Coturnix japonica: one gene and its partner. The main gene of each other region encodes a partner of the protein of the gene in region 2 in a complex. Links are inferred from orthologs where the notes say so. Each region holds a gene or a part of one and is shown on either strand. Other genes may lie near its edges. The genes, in order: TCAIM and OGDH.

What was found.
Region 1: the proteins of OGDH (region 2) and TCAIM are in contact, whole or in part, in a cryo-EM structure (PDB 8I0K), measured with the Homo sapiens proteins. The link is inferred for Coturnix japonica from reciprocal best matches to the Homo sapiens genes OGDH and TCAIM. Residues at the interface, in NP_001425937.1 of Homo sapiens: Gly301, Tyr304, Arg323, Tyr354, Arg356, Ile358, Arg364, Asn365, Lys387, Glu391, Tyr394, Cys395, Gly396, Thr398, Glu399, Lys401, Lys402, Lys561, Met602, Pro605, Glu667, Gly668, Ile669, Asn709, Met734, Ala735, Ser736, Pro737, Asn738, Gln772; in NP_001269842.1 of Homo sapiens: Glu214, Gln234, Arg235, Ser236, Trp237, Gly238, His241, Ser244, His247, Ser248, Arg251, Gln255, Asp272, Arg273, Thr286, Met287, Asp288, Val289, His290, His291, Glu331, Leu332, Gln333, Pro334, Val335, Arg375, Tyr376, Glu441, Ser443, His473.

Annotation. Positions count from the first base shown.
Region 1 is NC_029517.1:37,430,954-37,434,768, reverse strand, and holds part of TCAIM (T-cell activation inhibitor, mitochondrial), read left to right. Parts: intron 1-525; coding exon 526-617; intron 618-2,611; coding exon 2,612-2,844; intron 2,845-3,374; coding exon 3,375-3,506; intron 3,507-3,815. UniProt on the Homo sapiens protein: May regulate T-cell apoptosis.
Region 2 is NC_029537.1:133,264-137,078, reverse strand, and holds part of OGDH (2-oxoglutarate dehydrogenase, mitochondrial), read left to right. Parts: exon of another isoform or gene 1-762; intron 763-866; exon of another isoform or gene 867-973; intron 974-2,168; exon of another isoform or gene 2,169-2,278; intron 2,279-2,667; 5' UTR 2,668-2,694; coding exon 2,695-2,916; intron 2,917-3,815. UniProt on the Homo sapiens protein: 2-oxoglutarate dehydrogenase (E1o) component of the 2-oxoglutarate dehydrogenase complex (OGDHC). Participates in the first step, rate limiting for the overall conversion of 2-oxoglutarate to succinyl-CoA and CO(2) catalyzed by the whole OGDHC.

The DNA of each region.
Region 1 (3,815 bases), on a different chromosome or scaffold from region 2:
CACACATACATACGTTCTGAGTCTTTTATGTTGTTTCTATTCTATCTTAAAAACAAGCAAAAAATGAATAGGAAGACATTTCTGATGGCTTGCATGCTGCAAAGAGCTTTGTGGAAGTACTGTTGAATGGTTATGCTAATGGTTCTTCAACCTTTACTTTATTTCTATGTGCCTTAAGTATATAGCACATATTTCCTTGGGTATATGTCATTTGTACAGATTATTTGAAGGCTCTGTTTGCTGATATTTTCTGTATTTCCAGTTAACTGAAATTCTACTGGTTCTACTTGTTTAAACAGGGAGAAAGCAAAAGCTAGTTAAGTCTTGTATGGAAAATTATTGAACTGGGGTTTTCAGGGATCACTTTTTTGGATTTTGAGAATAAAGAAAGCAACTGCTCATTTTGTTTGTGCTAAGAAAATGTGTTACTTGTGACACATTAGTAGCGTGCCTAAATCTTACATAATTGTGTGAATGGTGGCAGTAAATAATGAAATTTAGTAAGGAGCTTTCTTTGATCTTTAGGACGCACGGTGGTTTTCACAGATCGTTCAGGTATGAGTGCAGCAGGCCACGTGATGCTGGGGACCATGGATGTTCACCATCACTGGACCAAAGTAAGGTTTCAGAGCAAGTGCTGTTCTCTGTTGTTATGACATCCTTTTCTAAACTATAGCCAAAATATCGTCGCTAATTACTCATGAGTAATTTAAAGGAAAAAACATGGCTGCTATGTTTAGCGTAACCTTGTACATCACATTCTGAATTCAGTCTTATTTTACTAACAGCAGTCTTTGTCAGATCTTTTCTTCTGCTTCTACTAACAAACCAGTCTCATCTCTGATTAGATATAAATGACTCTAATAAGCTACACGTTGTTCCAGTCCATAGGTAATAAGTGCAATAAGCACTGGTGGAATATTTCTTCATCTATAAAGAGCTCATTCCCATGAAGAATTTAGGAATTCTGTTCTGATTGTTGATGTAAATGGAACTTAAATGGAGTTGTGAAGGGGTCTGTTCAGTCGGTGGCTGCTTTCCAACTCTGTATCTTCACTTTGTTCTTTTAGGCAGATGACGGAGGTGTTGCAAAAATTTATCTTCAGTGAATAGACAAATTCTGCTGTTTGTGTCAAGTTCAGATTCATCAAATTTCTGGCATCCTATATAATAAAGCACTGTATGAGGATGCATGTCACTTCAAGGGAATTTTCCTGAATCTTGATAATTAAAATGCTAGCAATAGTTCTTTCAAAAAAATATTTCTGTGTAAAGTGATAATTAGAGGAATTTCATAGTTGGAAATTTCACCCAGCTAGAATTTAAGAATATTTTATTTCTGCATTCCAGTCAGTTATCATATGAAAACTGAGCACTCAACCTAAAGTTTTCTCTGGTGATGATTTGGATTTTTGCCTGTACATTTCACTGAAGGAAATGATAAGCCATGTTTTGTTAATATGGAATGATTTATGAACTTAATAAAGTGAGAAACTAGAATTGAATGCAGAGCTTTCTACTCTGAGATTTGCATTGATAGTAATTGGAATACAAGTATTTTTCTAATACTGGGGGAAAAAAGCCAATCCATTCCTTAATGAGATAAATGTTTCCTCTTTCTAACTGGCCAAAAGCTGCTTGGATTCTACTACTCTCTCATATTTATAAAGAGGTTATTCTGAAATCACTTGATTGTCCCAGCAAAAGTATTTTCTTTTTTTTTAAATGAAAAACTGTGTTCTGCTAATAGCTGAGTAGGTGGTATGTGGTGACTACGACAGACTTTTTTCTTACAGCCTTTCCTCTGTAACCAACCTTCTGTGTCTTGGCTCACAAGTCTGATCACATCTTAATCTTTTCTGGCAGAAGTTTGTAAATTAGATGTCCGGTTCTTTCCTTCCCTCCTTCCCCCAGGGAAGTGGTGGAGTCGCCATTCTTAGCAGTGTTCTAGAGGCGTCTGGATGAGGAGCTACGAGAGATGGTTTAGTGGCTTGTGGCAGCAACGGCGATGGGAGGGCGGTTGGACTGGATGATCTTGTAGGTCCTTTCCAACCTTGTGATTCTATGATTTTCCTCCAGACTCCAAATAAACGATATTATTAGCTGAGTCCATGGAAAGAACTAGTCCCAGTGCTGCAGGCTCTCTGTTGTTTGAGGAATGGATATATAAATTAGGCTGGCGAAGACACCCTTGATGACAGTGTGTGGTAGATATGCATGTAGGCATTTTATGTAGGCTTTAGATTATAATTTGCTTTAGATCTGGGAATGTTAATTCTGTATACATAGATATAAGGGGCATCCACTGATCTTGTCATATGGTATTGGTGCGTTTATAGTGTAAATACTGAAAATACTTACGAACTTTTTCCATTATATCTCACCCCAAAGTGTATAATAACAATATTACTTTCTTTTTTATATATATTCCTTGATTTCTGTTTCCCGTGTTTTTTATGTGTAGTGGGGTGTTTTTTTTGTTTGCTTGTTCTTTTTGTTTTCTTTTTTTTTTTTTTTCGCTGTTCAGTGTCTCTTGTTAACTTTTTCTAACAATTCAGTTGTACGCTTGATAACATAAAAAGCTCTTGTGTGTGTGTGTGTGTCCCCACAGATTTTTGAGAGGCTGCCAAATTATTATAAACTTCAGGAAAGGCTGCTGTTCTTGGAAGATCGGATAAGCCAACTTCTGGGAGGCATACAAGTAATATACGTAGAAGAGCTGCAACCCCTCTTGACTCTGGAAGAGTACTATGACACTCTGGACTCTTTCTATAACAAACTACTTGACAGTCGACTGCCTTTTCATCCCCAGAGCCTGAGAGGCTTGCAAATGATTCTAGAAAGGTGAGTATTTGCAGGAAAGATTTATTTCGTCTGGAGCTTTTAGTTTTTTTGTTGTTGTTCCACTGATTATTGCTTTCACTAAGAAGAAAACTAATAATGATTTTAGATTTTCAATGTATCAGTCTTATTTTTAAAGGTTTCTGTGCCTTTATATGGGTTAGGGAAAGAGTCAGGCTGAAGGAAATCATACGTATTTCATTCAATTCATTGGAGTCAAGGTGGAGGTTTTTATCTTTTGTTGTGTTGGGTTAAATCAAAGGTTTTGTGCTGTAAGAGCAACATTTATATATAATGATGACAAGTATATGTACTTCTTAATGTTGTTGACTGTGTTGCTTATGAAATGCTCTGGAAATATTTATGTATGATGTTTATGTATTCTTATGAACCAAACTTGATTATTTTTTTTACCTACTATTCTGATTATCTACTGATAATCTTATGTTCAGAATCCATTTTGTAAGTAATTCATGGGAGTAGTTATGTGGAAAAAAAGTCTTGCTTTTCATTTCCATCACGTTTCATTGCAGTGATAGATACACACCAAGCTTACATGAATTTGGACACTTCACCATCCCAACAGTCTGTGATCCAGCAACCCTTCGATGGTTTATTATTGCCAAAGCGCAGGAAGCAAGAGAGAATCTGAAAAGAAGGGAAGAGTAAGTGTTTATATCCCAGTACACTTTTGTTCATGAAAATCTTTGCACACCATGTTCCTTACTTGTAACAGTGCTGAAACTTTGAGGATAGCATTTTTGCTCTTCAGTTGGAAAAGCAACTTCTGTTTGTAAAGCAAAGCTTTACCTATCAGCTTTACTGAGTTGAAAATGGAAGCATGCTGTGAACACAGACATTTGATAGGAAATTACTGTCCTTCACACTGTAGAAATAGTTTGTCATTTATTCAGAAGCAGAGGATTTTTGCCTGTGTGGTTTTTTTGTTTGGTTGGTTTTTTTGATTTATTTTA
Region 2 (3,815 bases):
TGCTGCAGACCCCAATGGTTGGATGGCCCTATAGATGGATGGATGGATGTCCCTATGGATGAATGTCCCTATGGATGATGTCCCCATGGTTGTATGTCCCTACGGATGGATGTCCCTATAGATGGATGGATATCCCTATAGATGTATGTCCCTATGGATGGATGTATGGCCCCATGGATGGATGGATGTCCCTACAGATGGATGTCTGTCCCTATGGATGATGCCCCTGTAGATGGATGTCCCTACGGATGGATGTCTCTATGGATGGATGGATGTCCCTATAGATGGATGGATATCCCTATAGATATATGTCCCTATGGATGGATGTATAGCCCCATGGATGGATGGATGTCCCTATAGATGGATGGATGTCCCCATGGATGGCTGTCCCTACAGATGGATGTCCTTATGGATAGATGTCCCCATGGTTGTATGTCCCTATGGATGGATGTCCCCATGGATGGATGGATGTCCCTATAAGTGGGTGTCCCTATGGATGTATGGCCCTATAGATGGCTGGCTGTCCCTACATCTGGCTGTCCCCATGTATGTCCCTACAGCTGTCTGTCCCTATGTATATCCCCATGGATGGATGGCTGTCCTTATGGATGGATGTCCCCACGGTTGTATGTCCCTATGGGTGGATGGCTGTCCCCATCTATGTCCCTATAGATGTATGTCCCCATGTATGTCCCTATAGCTGTATGTCCCTATAGCTGTATGTCCCTATAGATGTATGTCCCTATAGCTGTATGTCCCTATAGATGTATGTCCCTATAGATGTATGTCCCCATCTATGTCCCTATGGCCGCCCCCCCCCCCCGTTCTCAGCGCGGTTCTTTGGGGGCGTGTCCGTCGTTGTGGGCGGGGCGACGCGGTGACGTCAGAGCGGGGCGTGGCGACGCGGGGCGGCAGCCGGCGGTTGGGGGCCGCTGTCAGAGTCGGGGCCGCGAGCGGCAGCGCGGAGCGGCAGGTACCGGGATGGGGGACGGGGCGGGTCGGTCCGGTCCGGTTCGGTTCGGTTCGGTCTGGTCCGGGGCCGGGCGGGTCGGGGTTGTTGTGTTGGGGGGGGCGGCCCGAACCGGGTCCGTGTCCTTGGCGCCGCCGCCAGGGCGCCCCAGGGCGGGGGAGGGGGCGGGGCCGCCGCGGGGACGGACGGTCCGCTCGGCCAATCGGGGGGCGGCGACGCGCCTCGCGCCGCTCTGATTGGTGGCGGAGGGCGCGAAGGCCGCGCGGCGGAGGCGGGCGCTGATTGGCGGGCGGGGCGCGGGGGCGGGGCCGAGCCTGGCGCCCTGCAGCACGTGGGAACCGGGACCGGAACCGGGTCGGAACCGGATCGGAACCGAACCGCGAGCGGGGCCGGGAGCTGTGCAACGATGCCTTAATGCCTTAATGCCTTAATGCCTTAATAATACCTTAATGCCTTAATGCCTTAATGCCGGCCGGGAGTCCAGGCCCGGCACTGCTGCGCTGCCGTCACCTTTAACGGCAGCAGTTCTGTACCGGGAGGTTCGGATGGTTCGACCCAAACGCTCGGCACCAAAATCCGGCACTTTAAGGGGAATCGGAGCCGCAACGGGGTGAAACTGCGACCGGTCCGTGGGGAACCGGCAGAGATAGAGACAGAACGGGGGGGTGTGAGCTCATAGAGCCATAACGGGCTGTGAGCCGCCATTATAGAGACATGGGGGCGAAAAGGAGCCGAAAAAACATCAGGGGTGACCATAAAGTGATGGGAAAATCAGTGTGAGGCTGTGGGGGCACATCCAGTGTGGGACGGGTATGGGATGGACACAGGACAGGGAGTCTCGTCAGCCCATTCTCATTGCTGGGGCTGTATCATTGGCCTTTATCGCAGTGTGAGTGGGGAGGAGATGGGGGGACCTGCCCAGGACCCCACACCCTCTTTGGTCCATGGGATGCTGAGTTGTGTTGTGGCCCAGCTCCTCCTGCAGTCACTTCTCCCATTGCCCCGCAGTTCAAGGTGAGCTGTAGCACCTCGGTCTCTCGCTGCACTCCCAGCCCCACACATTGTGGGGTCAGCCCCATCCCCCTCAATGCACTGAGAGTCACTGCGGGCTCCTTGTCAGATGGATGGAGGCCAGAGGCAGCGTGAGTAATGCAGCAGGAATGGGCCGGGCTGAGCCGCTCTGCTCCACGCGCAGCAGGAAGGGGAGCGAAGGAGAAAGCTCTGGTTATACAAACCCTGCTCGGGGTGCTGTGCTGTGTCCCGGCAGGACGGGGTCAGCTGAGCGCAGGGCAGCGCAGCATCCAGCTGGTAAGAAATAAATCAAGTCGCTGGAACTTTCCGGGCTGGTTTGGCCCCTGTTTGGGTGGCATCCTGCAGCTCCCAGCCCCGACTGTGCTCCTACACCCAACAGTGCTGGGCTCTGATTCCATGCGGTGCTGTCCCAATGCACACCATGGGCACGGGGCACTGCTGCCCATGGCCTGGTGTGAGCTGGGCACCTCGCAGGGCTCCCTTGTGCCGCAGTCACGTGCCCATCAGCTGAGTGCATGGGGAAGGGATGGGAATAAATCAGCAGCAGCTCCGGGCTGTTGTGCGAGCAAAGGTTGTTGCTCACTTACGAAGCTGGTGCCAGGGGTGACGGTGCTCGCGCTGCCTTGCGCCCCTTCCTAAAGCTCTGTTTGCTTCTGTTCCCACAGGGACTCGTGTGAGGCCGTCGGACAAACATGTTTAACTTAAGGACTTGTGCAGCAAAGCTGAGGCCGCTCACGGCCGCTCAGACTGTTAAGACAATTTCCCAACAGAGGCCGGCAGCGCCCAGGACGTTTCAGCCCATCCGGTGCTACAGCGCGCCGGTGGCTGCCGAGCCTTTTCTGAGCGGGACTAGTTCAAACTATGTGGAGGAAATGTACTATGCGTGGCTGGAAAATCCCAAAAGTGTACATAAGGTAAGGAGCAGCTCCCCGGGAAAACGCCTCCGCTTCGGTGTGTGCGTGGCCCTGGGGGCAGGTAATGCAGCGTCCCACGAGGATTCATCAGGGTGTGGATGTCTGTTCCTCTGCGCTCAACTGAAAGCAGCAGCTGCATCAGAAGCTTCTCGTCTCCAGAGCGACCACCCTGTGCTTTGTGTGCAGCCAACACGTCCTGGATCACACATGGATACAAGGAACGGCTTCATTGGGAATCCGTCCTGCCGAGCTCCAGATGTTGTCTGCTCTCCAGCCCTTACAGGAGGGTCCATCCTGGGGGTGACAAGGAGAGGGTCCCCCTCACATCTCATGTCCCGTTTGCTGTCTGTGCCCTGCTGAGCGGGGCCGTGTGTTGGTGCATCACTGCAGCACGAGGCAGAGCTGTGGGCTTTGCTCCTGGATGGTCGGGGCATTTCTGAAAGCCCGCCGTGTTTTTCCCCCGGCGTCACACAAAGGAAGTTTTACCGCAGGGAACGAGTTTCAGCCTTACTCACATCATCTGTAAAAGGGTTTCGTGCACGTTGTGGTGCTCCCAGGGCAGACTTATTGTGCAGCTGTCACACGGGTGCTCAGGGGATGTGGAAGGAAGTTGGTGCTCAAACGCTTGTGTCAGCAATGAGCTGTTTTCAGAGCATTGACCTCACGCATCCAAACAGCCTGTGGGAGCCCTAAGGCAGGGTCAGAGCCAGGTTCTCATCAACCACTTCACTGCCTTCCCTTTATGCAGCCAGCGTTGTGCTCAGGGCCCTGTGCCATCCGCAGACCTCAGCGCAGCCTCTGAGTGTGGGCTGGCTTAGAGCATTGCTGAGCACCTGAGGAGCCCCAGGGCTGCAGCTTGGTCCCACTGACCGAGGTTTGCAGTGAGTGTTGCCATCACT